2 linked regions of the Diceros bicornis minor genome follow. The protein of the gene in region 2 interacts with the protein of the main gene of each other region in a biochemical or structural test. Links are inferred from orthologs where the notes say so. Each region holds a gene or a part of one and is shown on either strand. Other genes may lie near its edges. The genes, in order: MECP2 and PRPF40A.

Region 1 (11,085 bases), on a different chromosome or scaffold from region 2:
TTACCCCAAACCAAAGCAAACAAAGCACCATGCTGAAGGCCGCTGGGCAACAATGGCAGCGGCAGGTGAAGAGCTCAGTCAAAGCGCTCTCAGGGCAGCTGACCTGCTTCAAGGTGAACTGAAGTTGCAGATCACCAGTTCCGGCTCTAATCTGACGCCCGCCCCCAGATCACGCTGTGGCTACCAAGTAACCCTACCCAAACTGACATTTCAGGGCTCAGGGAAGTGACTTTTTTTTATTATATGGCACAGTTTGGCACAGTTATGTCTTCAATCTTTGGGGTACTTTTATACTGTCCAAGAGTAGTACATCTTGTTTTTTTCCTTTTTTTTTTTAAAAACAGATGGCCAAACCAGGACATATACTAAAAAAAAAAAAAGGAAGGTTACTTACCTGAGCCCTAACATTCCAGCTACCATGGAATCCTGTTGGAGCTGGTCTACAGAAGCAAGATGTATTCTGGGGAGTCACATGTCACATCAAAGCAGGAACTGGTGAGTCTGTATTTTTATGGAGCCTAAAACAAAGAAAACCGTAAGTTGAAAGCCCCCGTTGTGCTGCACGACCTCTTTCCCAGGACTATGCGGACATTGTGAAGATAAACTACAGACAAAGTACTAGGCTATTTCCTGGCTTACCTAACTAGAAACAAAGGACACACTGCAAATGACTGGCACATAACACACAGGGCTAAAATAAAGGAAAGATTCATGCGGGTTAGAATCAGCACTATCACAGGTCTTGTCACCTCTGAGGGACACTGTGACACCATAAAGCATACCGTTAGTGGTGATCTCTGGTAAGCACTTCTTGCACTGTCATACAGAAATACGCAGGGAGATAATACATGTTCAAGAGAACATGCAACATCAAAATGTCATTCCAAAAAGAACACGTGAAATCCAGAGGCAAAGCCTCCCTTCTTTTTCAAGCAGCTGAAGTTGCAACGAGCTGCTGTAACATCACGGAAAGGGGCTTTAACCCTGCGAGAAAAAAAGCAGCACCAATGGAAACCAAGTGCTCTGGGAGAGTCAAAGCCATCCTCCAAAACCTGCAAGTCTGTTTCAGAGCCTCTCAGAGCAGTAAATTGCAATGTTCAACAAACTGAGTTATTAGTTTGATAGTTTCTCTTTTGCTTTTGAACACGTTCAAAGAAGGACTTTTGTCATTACATTTTTCATCGTTAAGATAACCATAGGTTCCTTGTTAAAATCTAAACTGTCCCATATTAGCTAATCTCTGATACCTTGCTGGCCCAAGAGTAGCACTTTTATCTTTAGACTAAAAAAAGCCTTAAGTGTACAACTTAGAGGCCATTCACACAATTACTCATGTACTCAAACCCAGAGGAAGGGCAACACCAACCAAGTCTTTTATGGCTCGTCTATAACTACCAGGATGATACCTAGAATTATCTATTGAGGTGCAGTGAGGCCTTCTAATTCCCTTAAACAGTCGAGTCATAGAATGCTGTGAAACCCCAGAAGTCAAGGTAACAGTATTACTCAGTTAGCTATATAATAAAAATCAAACTGGTATCCTGGCTGGGAGGCTCTGGAAAAGCCACAACTTCTCACAGCCACATTTTTTTTTTTTTTACTTGTAAACTGAGGGAGCTGGACCAAGGTTCCTTCCAGTTCTGAAAGTTTAAGATCTTTGATTAATTCAAGATTCATGGGGGGAAAAAAGAGCCAGCAAATGAGAGCAGTTAGGTGAAAACCCAAGAAAGCAGTCATTTGCAGGTCCATATAGAGAACGCCCTCAGCTCTTAGGCAAGGAAGACAAGTGAACCCTTCCTAAGGCTTGCTCCCAAGAGTACAGACTTCTGCAGTAACTGCAAAACAGCTCTGGTGAGGACACATTCCCATGCCAGCATACCCAACAGAAGTGTGCCCTGAAGAAGTTACAAAGGCCAAGGCTTTATTCTCTTAACAGAACGACCACGGCCCCCCCTTGACATGGGAGTGGGGCTGCCCTGCCCACCTCCAAATCCCCATTCCCACTCAGTTCCCCCTCACACCATACCTACCATCAAAGTGGTGGAACCAAGTATTTAAGCAATAGCATGCAAATCAAGGTTTCAATAGGAAAAAGTTTCTTGCAAGAGAAAGGCAGAAGAGAGCAGGTAAAGGCAGAAGAGCACAACTTGTGTGTAACTGAGCCCAAGGAAGAGGAACCTGCTTACATCTGTCCTACCCGAAATGAGTTGAAGGTACAGTGGTGACAATGGCAGTTGGACTGGAGAAGGCTGGTACAGAAGCACCGAAGATAAGCTCCTTCCGCCGGAGTGGCAATAATGTTCTACCCAAGAAAGAAGGTTGTGTCTGCCGGCCACACGAAGCTGGTCTGCACGCATGTCACCACTGCAGAGGCAGTGAAAACAAGCAGGTGTCCTGCCACACTCCCTGGAACTTGTTGCCAGTCTAGGACTATGTTTTTACCCCATGTGCTTAAAACACTAGTTACTACAAATGTCAAACATTTTCTACAATTCTCTCCTCATAGATAACTCAGGCAGCCTGGCGACAAACTGCTCCTAGCTAATTAAAAGATTTCCACTGATATTCACCTTTCTAAAAGATTATGGGTTCCAAGACACATCATTTATCATGCAAACAGTCCCAGGCATTAGTGGTGGAAACTATTTCACCTCTGCTCTTCTTTATTTTGGGTTCAAGAAGTGAGCTTCTCATTCCATTTCCACATAGGGGAAGGAGTATTCCAGTGGGGGCAACATCATATTGGACTCATCTAGCCAGTTTTTCTGTCAAACTCCACAGCTTGCCTCCTCACCCCACTAGATTCGGCCACTCACAGGCAGGGCAGGCGGGGAAACAATGACTCTGGCTGGAAATTGCAAATAGAATGCAAAATTGTATTCTAACCCTCCCAATACACAAACAGCACAAAAGTCAGAGAAAGGTTTGACTGCGTCATGCTTTATCAGGTGAAACAAAGACCTGGTACTCTAGGTTTAAAGCATTCCAGGCAAATTTGTAACAACAAGAAAAAGACAGGGTGACAGGCCAGTACCAGCAAGAAAGTGTAGAAGGTTTCTTCGAGCTATTAGGACACACACTCTACATGCCACCAGGCACCTTGCAGAGAACTATATTCTGGAAGCTGTGCTGTTTAAAGGGCTAAGGGTACGACCAACAGCTAAATGGAGGGGCACCCGAGGAGGCAAACGCATTGCCAATGAAGCATAACAAAGCAGAGCCCTCGTCCTGTCATGTCTCAGGTTGAGAGGTACAAACCTTGGAACCTTCGTCAAGCGAGGCTTGTGTGTCTTGTGTGTGGACAAGAATGAACCTCACCGATCTGCCACCTAGCTGACATGCCACGATAGGGTGATCTGTGGCGACTTATTTAATCAACTGTATGTCTACCAGATTGATTGTGCCCTTTAAGGTTCTGACATGTCCGGATAAGAAAATAAAAGTGTTTCATAGGCTTCCTGACTGAGATTTGAAGTAGAAGTCCTAAAAAGCCCATAAATAAGCCTATTTCCCTATATCTCTGATAGAGATTTCCAAAAGACCTAAAAAATCCAGACCCTGGTTTTTTGTTTTTTGGGCTTTTTTTGGTAAGGATCCAGCATACTTCAAAAGACCCAAGAGGTCAGCTTAATCTCGTTGTTAACTGAAATCACTGAGATCCAGATAAAAATTCCAGCCATGAAACCCAAATTTATCCTCTAGAGTAATAATTGCCTATTAACAGTGAGTTTTACTACCAAGGCCCAAATATGCTTCATATTTCTAGTATAACAAAATACCTAAAACTTGTGAGAGACCTACAAATTCTAAGCCACTTAGCATCACACGCTGGTAGGTTTGGTTCCACGATCACAACCACCCCCTGAATTCCATCCTACCATCTATTTGGGGTACTGATCCTGCACAGGAGAGGCACAACATGTGAATGGTTCTGCAGAGCCCATTCCTGTTCCTGGAAAAATAACCAGAAGCACACATCTGCCTGACCATGAGTCAGGAATATCAATTTTGTGGTGGAGCCCATTTCTGCTGTAACCAATCCACACCAAGCGACCGCCACAGAGGTATTCCAGAGCAAGCTTTTCCCCCCTCGGGTCCACACTTAGCAATGTCATAAACGGTCGGTCGGTCTCCTCTGTGAGAGCAATCTTTTTAGACTCTTCACAATGACCTTAAGTCTTCAGTGCAAAACCACACAAACACTGGCACGCCACATAAAAGTCACCTGAGTTTCAGTTTGGGTGATTCAGTCATAACCAAACTAAAAAGAAAACAAACTTTCAGGGACAATTGACAGGAACCACAGCGATGCGATGAACTTGCCTCATCTGGTACTGGTGATCTTGAGCAGGGCGCGCTCCAGGTCTATGGGAGCCCGTTACATACTATGTCCCACTCCACTTATGTAACTGGAAGATCGCTGGTGAAGGGGGGGAGGATGGGAAGGCGCTCATATTCTGAGGCCACAGCACCCCCAAAGACCCTGGGGGCATGCTCCCACCGAAGAGCCTCAGGTGCTGCCGGACACACATTGCCCTACCCACGGCTCCTAAAGGGAACTATAACCGCCTCTTTATGACGAGTTGTGGGACCAGGAACACACTGTCTAGTCCCTTTTGTGGGTGGACGATAATTGCCACCTACTTGTTCTTGCTAGATGGGAAAAGAGATGGTGGACCGACTCGCTCGCAGTGGGGGCAGAAAGTCATGGAATAGGCGAGAAGGAGGGGGAGGCAAAGCCTGGAGATGGGGGTGAGAGCACAGGAGCCCTTGTGGCGCACTCTCCCGAAGGGAGGCGGACTGCGCACGCGCGCCGGTGGGGGGGCCGAGTAACGGGAGAGGGGGCGCGCGAGGGAGGGAGAGGGGAGAGCGCGATCCAGGGAGAGGCCGGGGCCGCGGGCGCGCGACGGCGCCGCGGGCCCGAAGCCCCGCGAAGGGCACGACGCGCGCGCAGCCCCGACAGGCGAAGCCCGGGCAACAGGGGCGCCTGCCGGGCAAGGGGCCGGGATGCGCGCCGAAGGCGGGCGGAAGGAAGGGGGCCGCCAGGCGACGGCGGCCTTGGGAGGCCGCGCCGACGACGGTCACCCGCAAGTGCGGGTGACGGGCCGAGGGGGGAGCCGTCACCGGCGGCGGCGGGAGGGGGAGGGTAGAGAGGAGGGACGCCATCCGCAAGCCTTGTCGCCCGACCCCGCGGGCCCCTCCCGCGCCACGTCCCGCCCCTACCCCCCGCCCCCCGGCAAGGGTCCCCACCCGCGGCCGCGGCGGTCCCACTCACAGTCTCTCCTCCTCGCCTCCTCCTCCTCCTCCGCTCGGCGCGGCAGCGGCGGCGGCGGCCATTTTCCGGACGGCTTTTACCACAGCCCTCTCTCCGAGAGGAGGGAGCGCGCGCGCCGCCGATGCCGGGATCCCGCACGGCCGACGTCGCGCCCCGCCCTCCCAGCCGGCCTGCGCGCTGCTGCACCTGCGTGCCCGCGTCCCGCCCCCGGCGCCGCCGCGAGCCCGCTCGCCATTGGGTGCGGCGGCTGGGGCAGGGCGGGGTCTCGGCGGTGACGCCGCCAATTGGCGGGAGTTGGTGTCCATTCCGGCCAGGGAAAAGGGGGCGGACTCCCTGTCCAGCTGCCGATTGGCTGTCGTCAGCCGTCATTTGGGGGAAAAGAGGTGGCTTGGGCGCGGAGGGGCTGGTTTAGTGGGCGGAATTTGAATATTAAGGATTAATGGGCCCTTGCGGATGCTGGGGCGAGTAAAGGCCTAGGCTTCGGACGCCTGATTGCGCGGCCCTCCCGGGCCATTGACCCGCGCTGTCCACAAACGCCCAAAATACGCGGCAGTAAGCGGTTCACTGCACCTGCATTTTCTCAATGTCATCATCTTCAGTAGAAGCAGCAAAGTTGCCTGCCCCGGAGCCTGACGTTGTTCCAGCCGAGGGACCTTGGTTTAAGAGGCTTACCCATTGCATTCTTTCATCTGAGCCTGCCTTGTGCCACACTCTCATAGGGACAGGGAATAAACTGACAACAAATCACAGCCCTGGCCTTCGTGAACCTCTGGTGGGGGAAGACGGTGCATGCCAAGGCTGCACGAGTCCTGTCGTTGGTGGATCAGATGGTTTGGTGGAGGCGTGGAAAAGGGGCAGTGGGAGCACAGAGGAATCGCACTTAGCTCTGCCTCGAGGGAAAAGGGAAGACTTCCTAGAAGAGATGATTTGGGAGCTAAGATCCAGCAGTTCCGTTTTGGAAAAATATTTAAGAGTATGAGAAAAGTTTTAGCCAACGGGGTGATCAGGACAGGACTATTTGTCAAAGCCACCTGACTCTGATCCAGCCATCATCCAATTCATCTAATGCTCCTTGTGCTGCTTCTGTGCTTAACAAGGAACCTTCTGATTCTGATTTGGCTCCCCCAACCCATTCATTTATTAAATACCTCCTATGTGCCAGGCACTATTCCAGGCTCTGGATACTCAGTACTGAACAAGACAGTGAACTAAGATTCTTGTGGGGAAGATTCATACTAAACATACAAATAAGCATATAATATAATGTCATATAGTAATAAGGGCTTTGAGATAGATAAAGCTAGGGTGAAGGGGTTGCTATTTAGATATCCATAGACTTTTGCCCTCGTTTTATTTCCCCATATGGATCTCTGGGGAGAGAACATCCCTGGCAAGTTCAAAGGCCCTGAGGAGATACTATGCCTGGCATGTTGGGGACTAACAAGGGCTAGAGAGTGATAGGGTTTGCAGTTGGAGAGGCATCTGGAGCCACCATGGGAACTGGGAGCTTATTCTGAGATGAGATGCCCTTGGAGGATTTTAAAGTGGGAGCTGACATCATCAGATCTATATTGTAGGTGCAGTGTGGAGAGCTATCCATGGTGGGAGAAAACTAGGAGCAAGAGCCCAGTCAGGAGGCCCTGGCGACAGTCTTGGAGAGGTGATAGTGGCTTTAACTAGGGTGGTAGCAGTGGAGGTTCTGAGAAGTTGTGAGATTCAAGCAATGTTTTCAAAATCGATGCAGCTGGCCTGGTGGTGTAGTGGTTAAGTTTGCACGCTCTGCTTTGGTGGCCCGGGGTTTGCACGTTCGGATCCCAGGAGCAGACCTGTGCACCGCTTGTCAGGCCATGCTGTGGCAAGCGTCCCACATAAAATAGAGGAGGATGGGTATGGATGTTAGCTCAGGGCCAACCTCCCTCAGCAAAAAGAGGAGGATTGGCAACAGATGTTAGCTCAGGGCTAATCTTCCTCACCAAAAAAAAAAAAAAACACAAGCAGAGAGGATTGGATGTAGGGTATAGAGAAAGAGAAGAAACAAGGATGATTCCTGAGTTTTTGGCCTGAGAAACTGAGTGAAAGGGTGCCTTTCACCATGATGGGGGAAACTGTAGGAAAAGCACATTTTTGGAGGTAGAGATCAAGAATTCTGTTTTGGCTATGTTAAGCCTGGGGTGCCCATTAAATGTGCAAGTGGAGATGTTGAGTAGGCAATTGGGTCAACAAGCAGTCAACAGGCTGAACATCCAACTCAAGAAGCTATAAAAGGAACAACAGTGTAAACCTGAAGAAACTAGAAGGAAGAAAAATTAAAATGAGCATAAATTGATGAAACAGAAACAAATGATAGAGAGGACTGAGAACATCAAGAGCTGATTCTTTGAAAAGCTGAAAAGCCAACCCACTACCAAGCTAGATATAAGGAGATAAGAGACAAGCAAATTGCACTAGAAATGAAAAGGAGATGTAACCACAGATACAATAGATTATACACTAGATAATAGATAAAACAGATAAATTTTTAAAAGGTTATTATGAAGAACTGTATGTCAGTATATTGGAAAACATAAGCAAAATGAATAAATGTGCTTCCCAGACAAGCACAGCTTACCAAAACTGATTCTAGAAACAGAAAACCTGGACAGGCTCTCTATAACCACAAAGAAATTGACTATATATTTTAAAATCTACCCTCCCCCTCCCAAAAAAGTTCAGAGAGCTTTACAGATGAGTTCTGCCAAATCTTTAATGAGTGGGTAATTCCAGTGATAAACAGAAAAGAAAGAAATCTCTCCAAACTTATTTTATGAGACTAATGTAACTACTATAAGGAGCCAATGAAAGTATGACAGAAGACATAGAAATAGATGTAAAAATTCTAGACAAATAAACTGAATCCAGCAGTATGTAATGATATATCATAACCATGTTGAGTTTTCTCCTAAGAATGCAAAGATGGTTTAAAATTAGAAAATCAGGGGCCAGCCACCTGGCCTAGTGGTTAAGTTTGGCACGCTCTGCTTCAGCAGCCTGAGTTCAGTTCCCAGGGCAGACCTACACCATTCGTTGGTGGCCATGCTGTGGTAGCGACGCACATACAAAACAGAGGAAGATTGACACAGATGTTAGCTCAGGGGGAATCTTCCTCACCAAAAAAATAAAATAAAAAATTAGAAAATCAACCTTAACAGATTTAGGGAGAACAAATATATGATTATTTCATTAGATGCAGGAAAAGCATTTGATAAAATTCAACACCTACTTATAATCAACAACAACAACATCTTCGGGAACTATGAATAGAAGGGGCCTTCCTTAGTCCGATCAAAGGTAATATCTGTAAAACCCTTAGAGCAAACATCATACTTAATGGTGTTAAGTAGGAACAAAGCAAGAAACAGCACAAGAGCTAAGGTGCAACATCATCCGTGGGACATAACACCCAAGTGTCCTCTCCTCCCATTCTCTTTGACACCTCATCCTTGGAGTTTCACCATGAGGAGAGAGACCCATTAATCTCAAGTCTATTCCCTGGTTGTTAGGACACAGGCATATAGACCCAGCCAGTAATAAAAAGCTGGAAAAAGTAATGGGAAAAAATAAAGATTCAACTCAGTCTAGCTATAGAAATTCTAAAACAGCTGGGAATAAACTTAATAAGAAATGCCGAAATCCCTACATTAAAAAACAATAAAAATTTACTGGAAATCATAAAAGAAGACCTGAAAAAAAAATAGAAACTACCATGTTCCTGGAAAGGAAGAGTAGACATCATAAAGATGTCATCTCCTCATAAATTAATCTGGAAATTCTTTGCACTAGTCAAAATCCAGGAGTTTTTATAGACTGCAACAAGTTACTTTTGATCAGGAAGAGTAAGTGTACAAGACTAGAAGTCAAGACATTTTCAAAAGAGAAAACCAATGAAGAGAGTCTTGCTAAATTCCTTAGCTTGAATAAACGAGAGTTATTTTTTTTTGAGGAAGATCAGCCCTGAGCTAACATCTGCCAATCTTCCTCTTTTTTTTGCTGAGGAAGACTGGCCCTGGGCTAACATCCATGCCCATCTTCCTCTACTTTATATGGCACACCGCCACAGCATGGCTTGCCAAGCGGTGCATCAGTGCACGCCCAGGATCCGAACTGGCGAACCCCGGGCCGCCGCAGTGGAGCACGTGCATTTAACCACTTGTGCCACCGGGCCGGCCCCTGAATAAATGAGACTTAAATGATACAATTTCACTCTTGCCATTGAAAAGTAGAAAAATATAGAGTTTAAAGTATTTATGAATAGGGCCAGCCCCGTGGCTTAGCAGTTAAGTGCGCACGCTCCGCTGCTGGTGGCCAGGGTTCGGATCCCGGGCGCGCACCAATGCACCGCTTCTCTGGCCATGCTGAGGCCGCGTCCCACGTACAGCAACTAGAAGGATGTGCAACTATGACATACAACTATCTACTGGGGCTTTGGGGGAAAGATAAATAAAATTTAAAAAATAAAAAATAAAAATAAATAAAGTGACTAGCTTTAAAAAAAAAGTATTTATGAATAAATTTTTTTTTATTTTGGTGAGGAAGATTGGCCCTGAGCTAACATCTGTGCCCACGTTCCTCTATTTTTTGTATGTGGGATGGCACCACAGCATGGCTTGATGAACAGTGCATTGGTCCAAGCCAGGGATTTGAACCTGTGAACCCTGGGCTGCCAAACTGGAGCCCTCGAACTTAACCACTACGCCACTAGGTGGGCCCCTACTAGTAAAATTTAAACTGGGCCATTTTAAAAAAATGGAACTATAACATTTTTTAAATGGGTCTCCTTAAAAATGGGACTGTAGAAGATAAAATCCAGGAAAATATAGTGTAGAAAGCAATTGACAGGAAACCAACAACCAGAAGGATTTTATCGATATGGCAGACAGAGCACAAACTTCTACTCCATCTGTCTAAAATTCCCTTGAACTGATAGCAAATAGGTATTTTTTAGAAGAGCAAATCCAAAATGACAATGGAAAATGAGAAGGGTAAAACAGACGGTCCCAAATTTTAGAACTAACATCCCAGATGATGCCACAAAATAACTCAAATTTGTTTCAAACACTATGCTTCTCTGGCAACAATACATTAAAATTCAAACTTAGAAACAAAAGAATGGGCCAAAGTAAAACAAAGCAAAACCACTCTCCACTTGGAAGTTTAAAAACAAGCTTCAATATAAACTCTTCAGAAATGACCAACAGTGAGAGCCCTACATATTAAAACCTCTTAGGGGCCGGCCCCATGGCTTAGCGGTTAAGTGCGCGCGCTCCGCCACTGGCGACCCGGGTTCGGATCCCGGGCGCGCACCGACACACCGCTTCTCTGGCTATGCTGAGGCCGCGTCCCACATACAGAAACTAGAAGGATGTGCAACTATGACATACAACTATCTACTGGGGCTTTGGGGGAAAAATAAATAAATAAAAATTAAAAAAAAATTATTAAAACCTATGCTGTATGACCAAAGTGGTCATCTAGAAAAATTAATAACCTTAACTACATTTATTAGAAAATAGGTAAATAGATAAGAAATGAATTGATTCTGATCCATCATGCTCACACTCATGTACAAGTGCATACACCCACAAACACACAGAGTTTTCCTTCTTTACCCTTAGAAGCTCACTACAAGAAAAGTGTCGAGGAACAGAAAGGAATAAAACCATCAGAGTGAAGAGAACGTGGTAAGGATGGAGTCTATCCTCAATGCACAGATTTCAACAATTTTTGGAAAGCAATCGGGAATTAGTTGATAAATAAAATAGGCAGGAAAGATC
Region 2 (11,840 bases):
AGTCTTGTACTCCACTCTTCTCATTAAAAGAGAAAAATTAAAGAAAAAAGAAAAAAAGAGCCAGCTAGGAGGACTCTCTTGGGCTTAAGTAAAGGCAAAATCATCTGTGGTAAAGAGGGCAGAACTTGCATGTCCTTTGTGTAGAAAAGACAACAAAAGACTAAGACATGAAAACATTTTAAAGGCAAAACATTATTTACTACAGATATGGAGAAAGAAGATGGCCTCACACATAACTGTATCTTAATGCAAACGTCTACTGGAAATTTTTTAGTATTGCCACCAAGCAGGAAAATTACTTTATTAACATGGTTTTTTTAACCAGTGATAAATCATTATTTAACTCACATATTATTTAAAGTTTATACAACTTGTCAGGTCTCTTCCAGCTGTAAGAGCCTATAATTCTGTAAAAGTAGAAGCACAACTTTCCCATATGAAGTTAATGTACAGTAATAAAGAGGCAACTTTAACCTACAGGACAGATTATTGAAATAAACATGAAAGAAATATTAAGCTCCATTTGATAATTTCCAAATATTTATTACTACTAATAGATTCAGCCTGAATTCTAAAAAGGGCATTCTAGGTTATCTCATGAATTAAAAATAAAATAAAATAAAAACAAATACACTACTTCTTTAATCTAAATAACTTGCTGCATTTGAAAAATTATGAACTCTGGCTTCTGTAGACTGTTATCCTGCCCAGCCTGCATATTATTTTACAAAGAAGTTTTAGAATTTCATCATGTTCAGTAACATTACAAAGACCACAATCATTTAGCAAGTAGGACTGCCACTAATTCTAGCCTTCAGCTGGTCCCAGAATGAGATCTTAATGTGAATTAGGCAACATACATGAATGTTCCATAACTTTCAGTCCCAAAGTCTAAAGAATGTGATTAACTTTTTAAAATTGGATGGTAGAACCCTACCAACTTTATGTCACTGCAGTGAACTATATACAGGCACCCTGCTTCTTCTCATCTTCTGACCACTTACTGTTCATTAATACTTCCCAGAGTGGGTAGACAGAAGAAATGATGCAGAAAAAAGGATCAATTTTACTAATTATCAACTTTATTTTTAAAGTAGTTGTTTACAGAACTTTAAATTAGATTTCTGGATTACTTGAGCATTTAAATTATCCATGCCCTCCCAGTCTGTTATTAAAGCTAAAATAAGAATTAGTTTTAGGCCCCATATTTGCTAGTTAGATGTTAAGAAGAAAAAAAAGGAATAATCTAATTTTAAGAAAAAAACAAGGAGGATTCTCTTGGGACCCCCACAGCTGAACTCTGAAGACATTCATTTATTATCCTAACAGGAGCCAAAAGGGAGAGACAGACTTCTAAACATCTAAAAGTCAGGTACACTTAGAGGCACATGGCATATACTGGCCTAAGAAAAAAAGTAGAATAAAACCACAAGGTAAAATTCTGAGTATTTGAATGGATGTATACCAGGTAGCAAGTAACCTTACTAGGAAGATGGTCACTGATATTGCTAAGGAGAAAGGGCCATAAAGCAAACTGTGACCAGCTTATGTCAATGAGATACATGAAAGTACTTAAAAAAAAAAAAAAAAATGAAATCTGCATTTTACTAGAAATGACTAGCTGGTATCTTGGTTTTGGTAGTGCAATAGCACCATTACAGCAAGGGTAAGCAGGTCATCCCTTGCAAAACTTACCTTGATTGGCCCAATGGAAACAGAAGGCCCCAGAAAAGAGAGAAGCATCTGGCAGTAGCAAATTGTTTTATTTTATCTTTCTGTGGAAAGAAACTAATTTTAAATAAGAACCAGAGCATTTAAAGAATAAATATTTTTTAAAGCTCATTATCTAGTTAGAGCAGCTCTACTAAGAAAACAAGAAGAGCTCCTTGCTGCTTAGAGATGGAAAGAAACAGAAGAGGAATCAGAGTTGTTTCTCCATCACCTAGGGAGTTGTAAAACTTGTGATATTTTAGAGTAACAGAATAAATGGTTCTTTTATTTAAAGAACTGCTACAGGCAGAATCTTTTGGGCCTGGTGCCTTCAAATAAAGATTTTTACACAAAATTAAGGGCTATATTATAAGGAAGAAAACCACTTGACATTAAGCCCGTCTACTCTTAAAGTTAAGTAGAGAGAGAGACAGAGCAAGCTCCTTTCTCCACTACAATTTTACCAATAACTTAAACCATCAAGGCTTAAACAATTATCAAAGTAAACAGTATTAATTAGCAGAAAGATCATACCTAATTGACTGGCTTTCCAAAATGTTTTGTTAGCCTAAATTTTTGATGATTTATTGAGATACTCAAATGGAAAGAACTCAGCCACCAAAGCATACTCTTATTATAGACCCTAACAGGGGATATAAAATTATTCATGGTAACTGAACCTGTTACCTTTCTTGGATGCTTCTCTAGGAACTCAGTTCTACTGAATTCACTGAGTCAGCATTAAAACCTTTTGATCCAAATCACTCCTACAAAATGTCCGTTTACAATTTATGCTGGAGATGGAAGGGACAGCTCAAAAGCAGGAGTGCAGAAGCAATAAGCATTTAAAAAAACAAACAAAATAGTGTAAGTGGAAAATGAACTACTTATTTGGCACTGTGCTATGAAGAATCAAATTAGAATAGAACCTCCCCACCTCCACCCCCACCACACTCGCGCGCGCATACACACAAGAGGAAGCTATTTCAGGAATAAAATTCATTCTAAGCCAAATGCCTAAACAATTACTATTTTCCGATTCTATGCATTTACATGGTCCACCGACATAAATTATGTTGACCTATCAGATAATATTTACTCTTAGAACATTAACATCAATTGACATACTTGGGGGAAAGAAAGTCTTTAAACTAAAAAGCCTAGATGTACACTGTTAACTTAAAAAAAAAAAAAAACCTCTTAGTTTTGTTGCAGTAGAAAGTAAATCTTTTATACAGAAGACTTTTCATTACATTCAAAATTTGGTTAGTGTCACGATTGAACATTTGACTTATTTGAAAACGTTATTCTGGCATAAACTAATTCTTAAACAGCTGCAAATATTGACCCAGATTTTGAAATCTTGACACAATAATACCACAAGCAAAAATAAACAAATAAATACAAAACAAAACAAAAACATTCTTACTTGTCCCATTGGCGGCCCTCCCATAGGGGGCATCATTTGCGGCATCATTCCATGAGGTACAGGAGGCATATTGGCTCTCTGACCCATAGGGTGCATTCCCATTGGGGTATAATGCATGCCAGGGTGCCCCATCTGAAAAACAGGGACAATTTAAAAATTAGCAAATAACAATAAATGCTTCTCAAAAATCTGATTCCCATAATTCAGTTACGTATAGTGGTATAACATTAGGCTGTGTAATTCAACTATTGGGTTAGCTTATACTTTCTCATCTTAAATAAACTGCACTACACTAGTATTTATAATGGGTTTGCAACTGACCAAATTCCAGAACAAAATGGAAAAAATTAAAATCATTAGTGGACAGCAGATCGTAGCTTTTATTTTTAAAGCACACTGACTTAGTTACTAACTTGCTTGCTAAGCTCGGAGGAAATGTATGTGAAAGCCAATTTAAAAACTGTTACAGTAAAAAACCACAACTCTGTCCTATTTCACACAGACAGAAGATAGCCACCTACTGTTATTTTACAACGCTACATATTAAACTTATTTCTAAACTTTTACTAAGCTTTAAAACTCTGAATTTACCAAATTAACTCAGATGACAGTTGGTATTATAAAACACAACAGTATGGGTATCCAGAGACACTTCACTCCTAACAAATAAACACAATTTCCTAATAGAATCTCTAACACAGGTAAAATTACTTTTGCCAAAAAAATTTTTTTCAAAGATTGAGGTCTGTCATTCAAAGACACTAAATGCAAACAACTAATTTGCCCATTTCAATGCGCTTTTGTAAGACAACTACTTTCTTGACTCGTGTGTCCATTGTTCCAGGTCTTAAAACCAGGTATTATCCCCTGCCAATTCCCCCAGCTGTCCTCCGCTGCAGACACCACTACTACAGGTGAAAACAGATTTTGGCAGCCTCTCTTAAAGTCTACAGAATCAAGTCTCCGCCTCCCCCTCCCTGTTAAATCGGGCCTACCTCTCCAAGACGCTCAACCCGCCCAGGGCCCAGCACCTACACCGCGCATCTGTCTAGGCCAAGCCCGCTAGGAACTTCCAGGGTCCCACATCCTTCCCTTTGTGCATCCCCGCCCTCCATTTCTCTCCCTCGGAACATATCCCACCATCGCGAGCTCTTCCTTCGTCCACTCTTATCTTCTTCTCCTTTTGGTTAAAGCTTCCTGTCTCTCTGACTCCGTTTTTCATTGTGCCGCTTTCCCCCTGCCCCACCGATCCCTTACCGAGGGCCGTCTCCTCAGGAAGCCGTCAGCAGAGACCCAAGAGCTGGAGCAGAGGCTTGAGCCGGACAATCTCCGCTCCCCGTCCCCGGGACCCCGCGAGGGAGGATGGCTCTCCATTTCACTCACCATGAGGCCTCCACGCTCGGCTCCCGTCCCCGGCCTCATCGTCGGGCTCAGACTGCTCCGCCGGCGGCCACTGCCGCTACACATACCAACAAGAAGCGATCTGAGTGGCTGGCGCCCGCTGGGGCCAAAGGTTAAAGGCTGCCCCGCGCTACGGGGCGGGATCAGCGGGGCCAATAAGCTGACAGGCTTCCCCGCTGTCCAATCAGAGTGAGCTGCCGACACGCAGCTCTGCGGCGATTCGCCCCCAGCCTCAGCCTCACTCGGCGTCGCCTGCATGGAGGGGGGGGGAAGGGGACGGAGGAAGTTTCTGCGCCGAGTCCTCTGCCGGGAAAACTCCACCAACTTCCCCCCGGGAAGGGAAGATAACCGTGTCCCAGCTTCCCGAGCTTAGACTGCCTCACCCCGTATGGGGTGGGGCCGTGGGGCCTGCCACCTTCACCCCCCGCCCAAGTTACGTACGACCCACAAACCTGAGGCCGCCAGGGGTAGGGTCGGGTGGGGTGGGGGTAGGATAAGCAGCTTCTAGCGTTAGCGGTGGCCGGATGCGCGCGTGCGGTGCTCGAGGCGAAGGGGAGGGGGCGGGGAGGGCGAGAGAGGAGGGGTTGCGAGGTGAGGGTTCGAGCTCCGTACGCACCAGCCGGAGAGCGCGCGCCGGGGCGGAGCGGGAGCAGGAGGCGTGTCGAGCTGCGTGGAGGGAAGTTGTGGCAGGGGTGGGGAGGACAAGGCGAAGGGGAAAGTGGGGTGGGCAGTTAAGGCGAGGCGAGAGCGCCGGGCGGTGAGCTGCCGTTAAGTAGGGAACGCGGAAAAGAGTGCGAGCGTAGCCGGGAAGAAGGGAGAAAGCAAATAGGTTTGGGAATGTGAATCACAGGTGCACGGGCAGGCGCTAGGACCGGGCGTCGGGAAGATGCGGCTTTGGGGCTGGCGGGACGCGCGCTTGCCTGGAGGTGACGCGGCGGTGGCGAAGGTCTTTGGCCGGGACGAAGCACTGCAGGGAGAGGAGACTCGGCTGTCTTGGGCCTCGGCTCGCCTCTCCCTGCGCGCTTTCCTGCTCTCCTTCCCTCCTACTGCCAAGGGGTCGAGCTCTGGCCCAGGGGCGCCCTGTCTCTCTTCGGGCCTCACGGCACCTTCCCCGCCCTACCGCGCACCCTTGCGCACCCCTGCGCGCCAGGGCAGGGTGGTGGAGGCCGTGGGGGGCCCCGGCCGTTGATTGGCTGTGCGAGCGCGGGGCGGGGCGGATGGGAGACGCTCGGCCTCCGCGCGCCGTATCGTCTTTCCCGCCATGTCGTTTTTAGAGAGCGGGAGGACCTCGGTTCCCCTGCGCCGCCGGCTGGGCACTCCTTTCCCAGTCGCTCGGCCGGCGTTTTCCGCGTTCTCTCAGGGGGACGGTTGGGGTGAGGGTCAGGTCGACGAGGAGGAGGGATGCGACCAAGTGGCCCGCGACTTGCGGGCGGAGTTCTCGGCCGGGGCGTCGTCGGAGCCTAGAAGGGGCTCGCTGCTCCCGCCGGACGGGGATGGGTCCCCGGTGCTGCCCGATAAGCGCAATGGCATCTTCTCGGCGGTGGCGGGCGGCCGAGCCCAGGCTCGGCGGTGGCCGGTCCAGGTCCTCTCAATTCTGTGTTCGCTGCTGTTCGCCATCCTCCTCGCCTTCCTCCTGGCCATCACCTACCTGATCGTAAAAGGTATTGTAGTTACGGCCTTGAAAGGCTGTCCAGAGTAAAGTTGAGCCTGGACGTGGCTCTCGCCTTCATCACCCCCCTCCCCATCAAAGACCGGTGAGGTGGTAGTCGCTTTCACCTAAAGTATTCATCAGCACTTTTCTTGGCTCTTCCCCGTTTGCTTTCTCTTTTCTTAAAGGTGGAAGGCCCTGGTACATCATCAGGAGACCTATTGTAAGAAAGTCTTAGTTAAATGGGTACTCTTGAAGAAACAGTATCTTCAAGTCGGCGAACACTTGAGATGAAATACTGGCAAAATTAAGGAGAATAACCATCATTAAAAAGAGATGGTGAAAAGTGTGTAGATAATTAAAATAGGCTATACATGTTCAAAGATTTTAACGGACAGATGATTAAAGATGTGCTATCGTCTGATTCCCATGTACACACAGAATTCCTGGAGGACAAGGATTTCCATTCAGCCCAAGTTTCTATTTTTATAGGTAAAATAATTAGCCCCTCTCGATTTTGGGTTCCCATCCTAGTGTAGTGGTAAAGCTCTATTGTGGGAGCTGTAGTCTGTTCTTTCTCTGATTAATAGTTTTATTTTCCTGTGTCTGAAAAGATGTGCCTTGAAAGGTTTTCCAAAGCTTATACAGAAGGATTGTATGGTTGGGTATTTTATATTACTGTAGAAAGAATCACACATGAGTTTAAATCTCATTTGTCACTCGTATGTGATTTTGGCCAAGTTATTGAAAAAGAAAAATTCAAACAAAAAAAACTACCTTAGTTTGTTGTGTGAAAAGCACCCAACGCGTTGTCACTGAAGTATTACTCTTACTTCACTATTCAGTAGTCTGTTTAGCTCTGGTTTTTATTTTTCCTCATTGTTTCCAAGCTGCTAGTGGGCTGCAGAAGGCTTCTAACAGCTTGGTAATGCTTGGTTTTCATGCAGAAGTCAGATTGGCAAGTTAATGTGCAAGTTGTACCTTTTCATAAAAGGGTATTGGGTGTAAACTGTCAATGTTAAATATTTGGGTGCCAGTGTTTCATTCCTATCAGTCCCCTCCCCTCTTTTTTTCACTGCACCTCTGAGAAGAGTTTCATCTTATAGGTAGTTTCTCTTTTGCTCTGAGAGATTGCTTTTATATCATAAAGTCACAAAACCTCGTATGTGGAAGTCCATTGCAGAAGACATGGATTCTTGCTTATTTTGGAGAATGGAGAAAGGAACTGAACTCAAAACCTAGTATCTGCTGTAGTTTGCATGACATAAAATGTCTTCACAAGGGCCAGCCTGGTGGCATAGTGGTTAAGTTTGGCGTGTTCCACTTCAGTGGCCCAGATTCAGGGGTTCAGATCCCAGGTGCAGACCTACACCACTTGTCAGCCGTGCTATGGTGGCGACCCACATATGAAGTGGAGGAAGATTGGCACAGATGTTAGCTCAGGGTTTACTCTTTCTCAAGCAAAAAAACAGAAAGATTGGCAACAGATGTTAGCTCAGGGCCAATCTTCCTCAGCAAAAAAGAAAAAATGTCTTCACAGCAACATTAGGAAGTAAACATTCCTGTTTTATATACCTGGCAGTTGACTCATATAGATGTCTTATTTGCTCACTGGAGGTCACATAGCTGGTAAATGGAAGCAGAATTTGAACTTGGTTGTTGCTGACTCCAAAGCACTCTCCACAACTCTACAGTGTCTTCCCAGCCTTTAAGCTACTTTTCAAATTATAAAATCATCTTTTTTACCCAAGCACCTTTTTGTATTTACAGAATTACATGCTGAGAATTTGAAGAAAGAAGCTGATGTAGACTCTGGGCTATTAGGTATGGACTTAATTGTCACTTGATTTGATTTTGAGCTCACTTTTGTTTTTCCAGATCGTATTTAAACTCTACAAAATTTTAGATAAAATACTTAATATATTCCCTTGTGCTTTTGATTCAGTCTTGATCTTGCAGACCTTTCTAATGAAAAGACCTTGAAAGACCTTACTGTGTGTGGTAAATTTTATTAGATTTTGTTTTTATGTATGTATGGCATGTGATGTGTGAGTGGGTATACCACACACACTAGGAATACAGTTTGAATACAACTGTGGGTGACTAAGACCCAGAGAATATTTAACGTTTTCTAATTACCTTCTGGAATAGTCTCCCCACGCCTCTTCCCAGGAATTAAAAACAAACACACTTTCTCACAGACTTGGCGAAGATAACATCTTAAGTAGACCTTAGGAGAAATTTAAGTTCAAATCTGTTTAAAAGCAACTTCTTTTGTAAAAAAAAAATTTGAAAAGCATTAGGCATACTTGCACAGGTTAACGATGACTAGGAAAGAGTCAGACTTTCTGTAGACTGTAGCATGCTGTAGTTTACAGGTTTCTAGTGAAAAATTGAAGGGTTGTTTATCTTGTATTTATTTCTCCGCCAAAATGATTTAGAAGAGTTCAGAACTTTACCTGTCTGGCATATTTTACTCCTATTTGCTATAATTATTTGATTGATTGCTCTAAATTGGGGAAAAAAAGTTTGAGATCCTATCTTGCATGTCACCCCTTCCCCCAGTCTTAACTAAACTGTGTAGACTACCTCTTCAAGGCTAATGCCCTCATGATGATACAAAGTATTGTCTGACTGATTTTGCACAAAGGAAAACGTTTGTCTTCAAATTGCACACAAATTAGTTTGCTAGATATCCCTTGAAAACTTGTCTACGTTCTTCTCAACTTCTTGCATGAGAAAACGTACTTTTTACTTACTCATTTTATTAGTGTATGTAGTTATACTGTTTCATCCTTAAAAAACAACCAAGATTATGAGGTTTTTCATAGCATTTATTGATCTGTCAACTCTTGATGTAGTAGAAACAAAATCTTATGAAGTAGGCATGAATTCTAACTTGCTATTTAAAAGTTGGCAAGATTTCACATTTATGAAAAGAATGAGTGGCATTTGTTATCTGCTTTTGAATGGCTTGTTATCAAAAGGCGTATAATAGGGCTTTGTCATTGCCCTGCTTCCTTTTCCACTTCCAGTTAAGTAGTCTGGTATTGCTTTTAGGTGTACTTGGTAGATGCTTAATACAATAACAGCAAATAGGAAGATCATTATCTGAGTCTTTGCTAGTGACATGAATTTACTTTCAAGATTCGGGAACAATCTCAGGAGTGAGGAGAAACCGCTGTATCTTTATGGCAAAAAACCACTGAACGGTAGTTATGGCAAAACAAAGATCCTTATTTTGAACTAATGCTCCACTGGTCAAATGGAGAATATATTCAGCATCACCTAATGGACTATTCAGTCAGTTTCCTGAGGATTAATTTTAAAGTAAGCATAGTTATATTTATAGCAAATATACATTATAACGTGTGATAGAGAATACTCTTCTCTAGCAAGAGAATAAGATTCTTCAAAATCTGTTTCAGAGAATCAGTGATTGAGTTGATTAAGCTCTTATAAGGTTTGAGGTGACTGAGGTAACACTTGCCCTTCATTGGCCTAAGCTGGAATTCTCCTGTTGGGGAGAAAAATGCTAGTTAACCTCTTTACTGAATAATGTTTTGAATTGACTACTAGCCTCTGAATAGTCCACTTACAACAGCTGATGGTTAAAGATAGGCCAGTTCTCTCAAACCTTGACTTGCATCTAAATCAACCCTGATTTTGTTAACTTAGATATCAAGAAAGATTGCTACATTAGCTTACTCCCCAAGAAATGCCTGTTAAATTATATCTTACCTTTTTACAATTGATATAAAAGTTTTCACAGAAAAGAACAATCCAGAATGTTTAATAAAAACTGTTGTTGAAGTCGTCCATTATGGACAGAAAAAGTAGAATGCAGCCTTCTATCAGTGATAATGATTTTGTTGTATTTCACTGTATTTCATGTGGTTTACTAGGAACCTCATAGCTAATGTGATGTTTGATTGTGTTGTTTTTTACCCTTTGTTTTTTGGCATAATTATTATTGTACATATATGTTGTTATCTTTATATTTCAGTGATTCGTGTTTAAATTTTATTGCAAATTGCCTCAATTCTTTAAAAGTAGGTTGGGTTTTAGAAACAAATAATGTGAGCACAGTAACTGCTCTACCGTGAGAGTAGACAGATTGCACACTGCAAATTTTTTTATTGCAATTTAGTCCTAATCCAAGGTTGGCATAGCTCAGTAAGAGCAGATTATAGCAGCGATTCTCATTTTGGTATGTGTAAGAATTACCTAGATTTTGTTTTAAAAAGCACCTGTTGATTTTGTTTCAGCCCAGGGTGGGTCCCAAGAATCTTCCAGGTAATTCTAATGTACCACAGTTTGAGAAATACTTCTGCAGGCCCAGAATCTCATTTTTAAAAAAAATTTATTCAAGGGTAAAGTCCTTGAGAGTTGACTAACGGTAGACTAACAAGAAACAATATATAAGCCCAAATGTGTGTTAAAAAACCTAACTTCCACAGGAGCTGGGATGCTGCCATTCTCTTGTCATTTTGTCATTCTGAAAGAAATCTTCATGAGAAGCCCTACTTGTAGTTGAAAAAAAAAAAACGGTTCATGATGAGCATAATATCAGTGCATTTGAGGAGTTAATTGACCCTAATGGCTAATAGGATTAGGCTATCATAGTGTTCCTCTTTACCAATGAGGTGGTCCAGCCAGGAAAGTGTGATTGATAATATCAGCTGGTTTTGGAACTCATCTCCCCTGGGAGAAATCACACTGCAGAGTTCTTAGGGCTTTTCTTTTATAATTGTCCTGCAAACCATCCCCTACTGTAAGCCTATTTTATAGGGAGTTTAATAAAACTTGTGAAACCTATTATAGTTACTTCTCTTTAAGGTTATTCGCAGGCCAAATTGATTACACTAATTATATACAACATTGAGTTGTTTCATTTTTGCACATTGGCTTTTGCATCTGTCACATTTTTCCGTATTTTATCACATTTCACACAGTCCTATTTACAATTTTTTGCATCTTTTCCCCTAGTCTTAATATAGGGTATAATAAAATGACTTTTTATTTGAGGCAAACCTGCAGTAAATACATAAGAAGGAATTGCCTTTAGGAGAAAATACTTAATCTAAGACTATTATCATCAAATTAAATGTAGGGCAGTACTTTTATATAAATGTAAATAGTGCCATACAGAAATTGTAATGAGACTTTATGGAGTTCCTTCAGTGTCTAAAAAGCTTTTGAACTTGATCTTGGGTGCCTGTCATTCCTTGATATCTATTAGTTAATAGTTAACATTAAGTCCCGCTTGTGGGTAGGACCAGATTGCTAGCATCTTGCAATGTCAAGGGCTTTTTTACTTTTTGAGCTGCCCATTTAGTTCCTCTTTTATGATTGAGATGTTTCTAGGCTTCTGCACATCTACAGAGAAGAGATGACTGACATATACTGAGTTCAGTCAAAGTTGAAGCCAGCTCATTTGAAGAGTTCATCAATTATGTCTTCTGCAGAACGATAAGTGAGACTGTCTACCGTCATAATTTCATGATACAGAACATTAGAAACATGGTAAAAAGTTCTGAGACAAAGGGTGTGTTGGTAAGTCACCCATTCTCTTAGAAAGGCACAAGTTGAGAACAACTCACTCACTTTCTTTTTATAGTGAAAAAATGGTTGAAACTGTGAACTTAAACT

Evidence for each region.
Region 1: the proteins of PRPF40A (region 2) and MECP2 form a complex in vitro, tested with the Homo sapiens proteins (2 studies listed by BioGRID, with this or other methods). The link is inferred for Diceros bicornis minor from reciprocal best matches to the Homo sapiens genes PRPF40A and MECP2.

Annotation. Positions count from the first base shown.
Region 1 is NC_080781.1:138,162,436-138,173,520, forward strand, and holds the start of MECP2 (methyl-CpG-binding protein 2), read right to left. Parts: upstream 5,403-11,085; 5' UTR 5,338-5,402; coding exon 5,276-5,337; intron 1-5,275. UniProt on the Homo sapiens protein: Chromosomal protein that binds to methylated DNA. It can bind specifically to a single methyl-CpG pair. It is not influenced by sequences flanking the methyl-CpGs.
Region 2 is NC_080749.1:36,488,312-36,500,151, forward strand, and holds the start of PRPF40A (pre-mRNA-processing factor 40 homolog A), read right to left. Parts: upstream 5,083-11,840; 5' UTR 4,799-5,082; coding exon 4,397-4,798; intron 3,272-4,396; coding exon 3,140-3,271; intron 1-3,139. Other genes in the region: ARL6IP6 (ADP-ribosylation factor-like protein 6-interacting protein 6), read left to right, coding at 5,802-6,201, 7,959-8,012.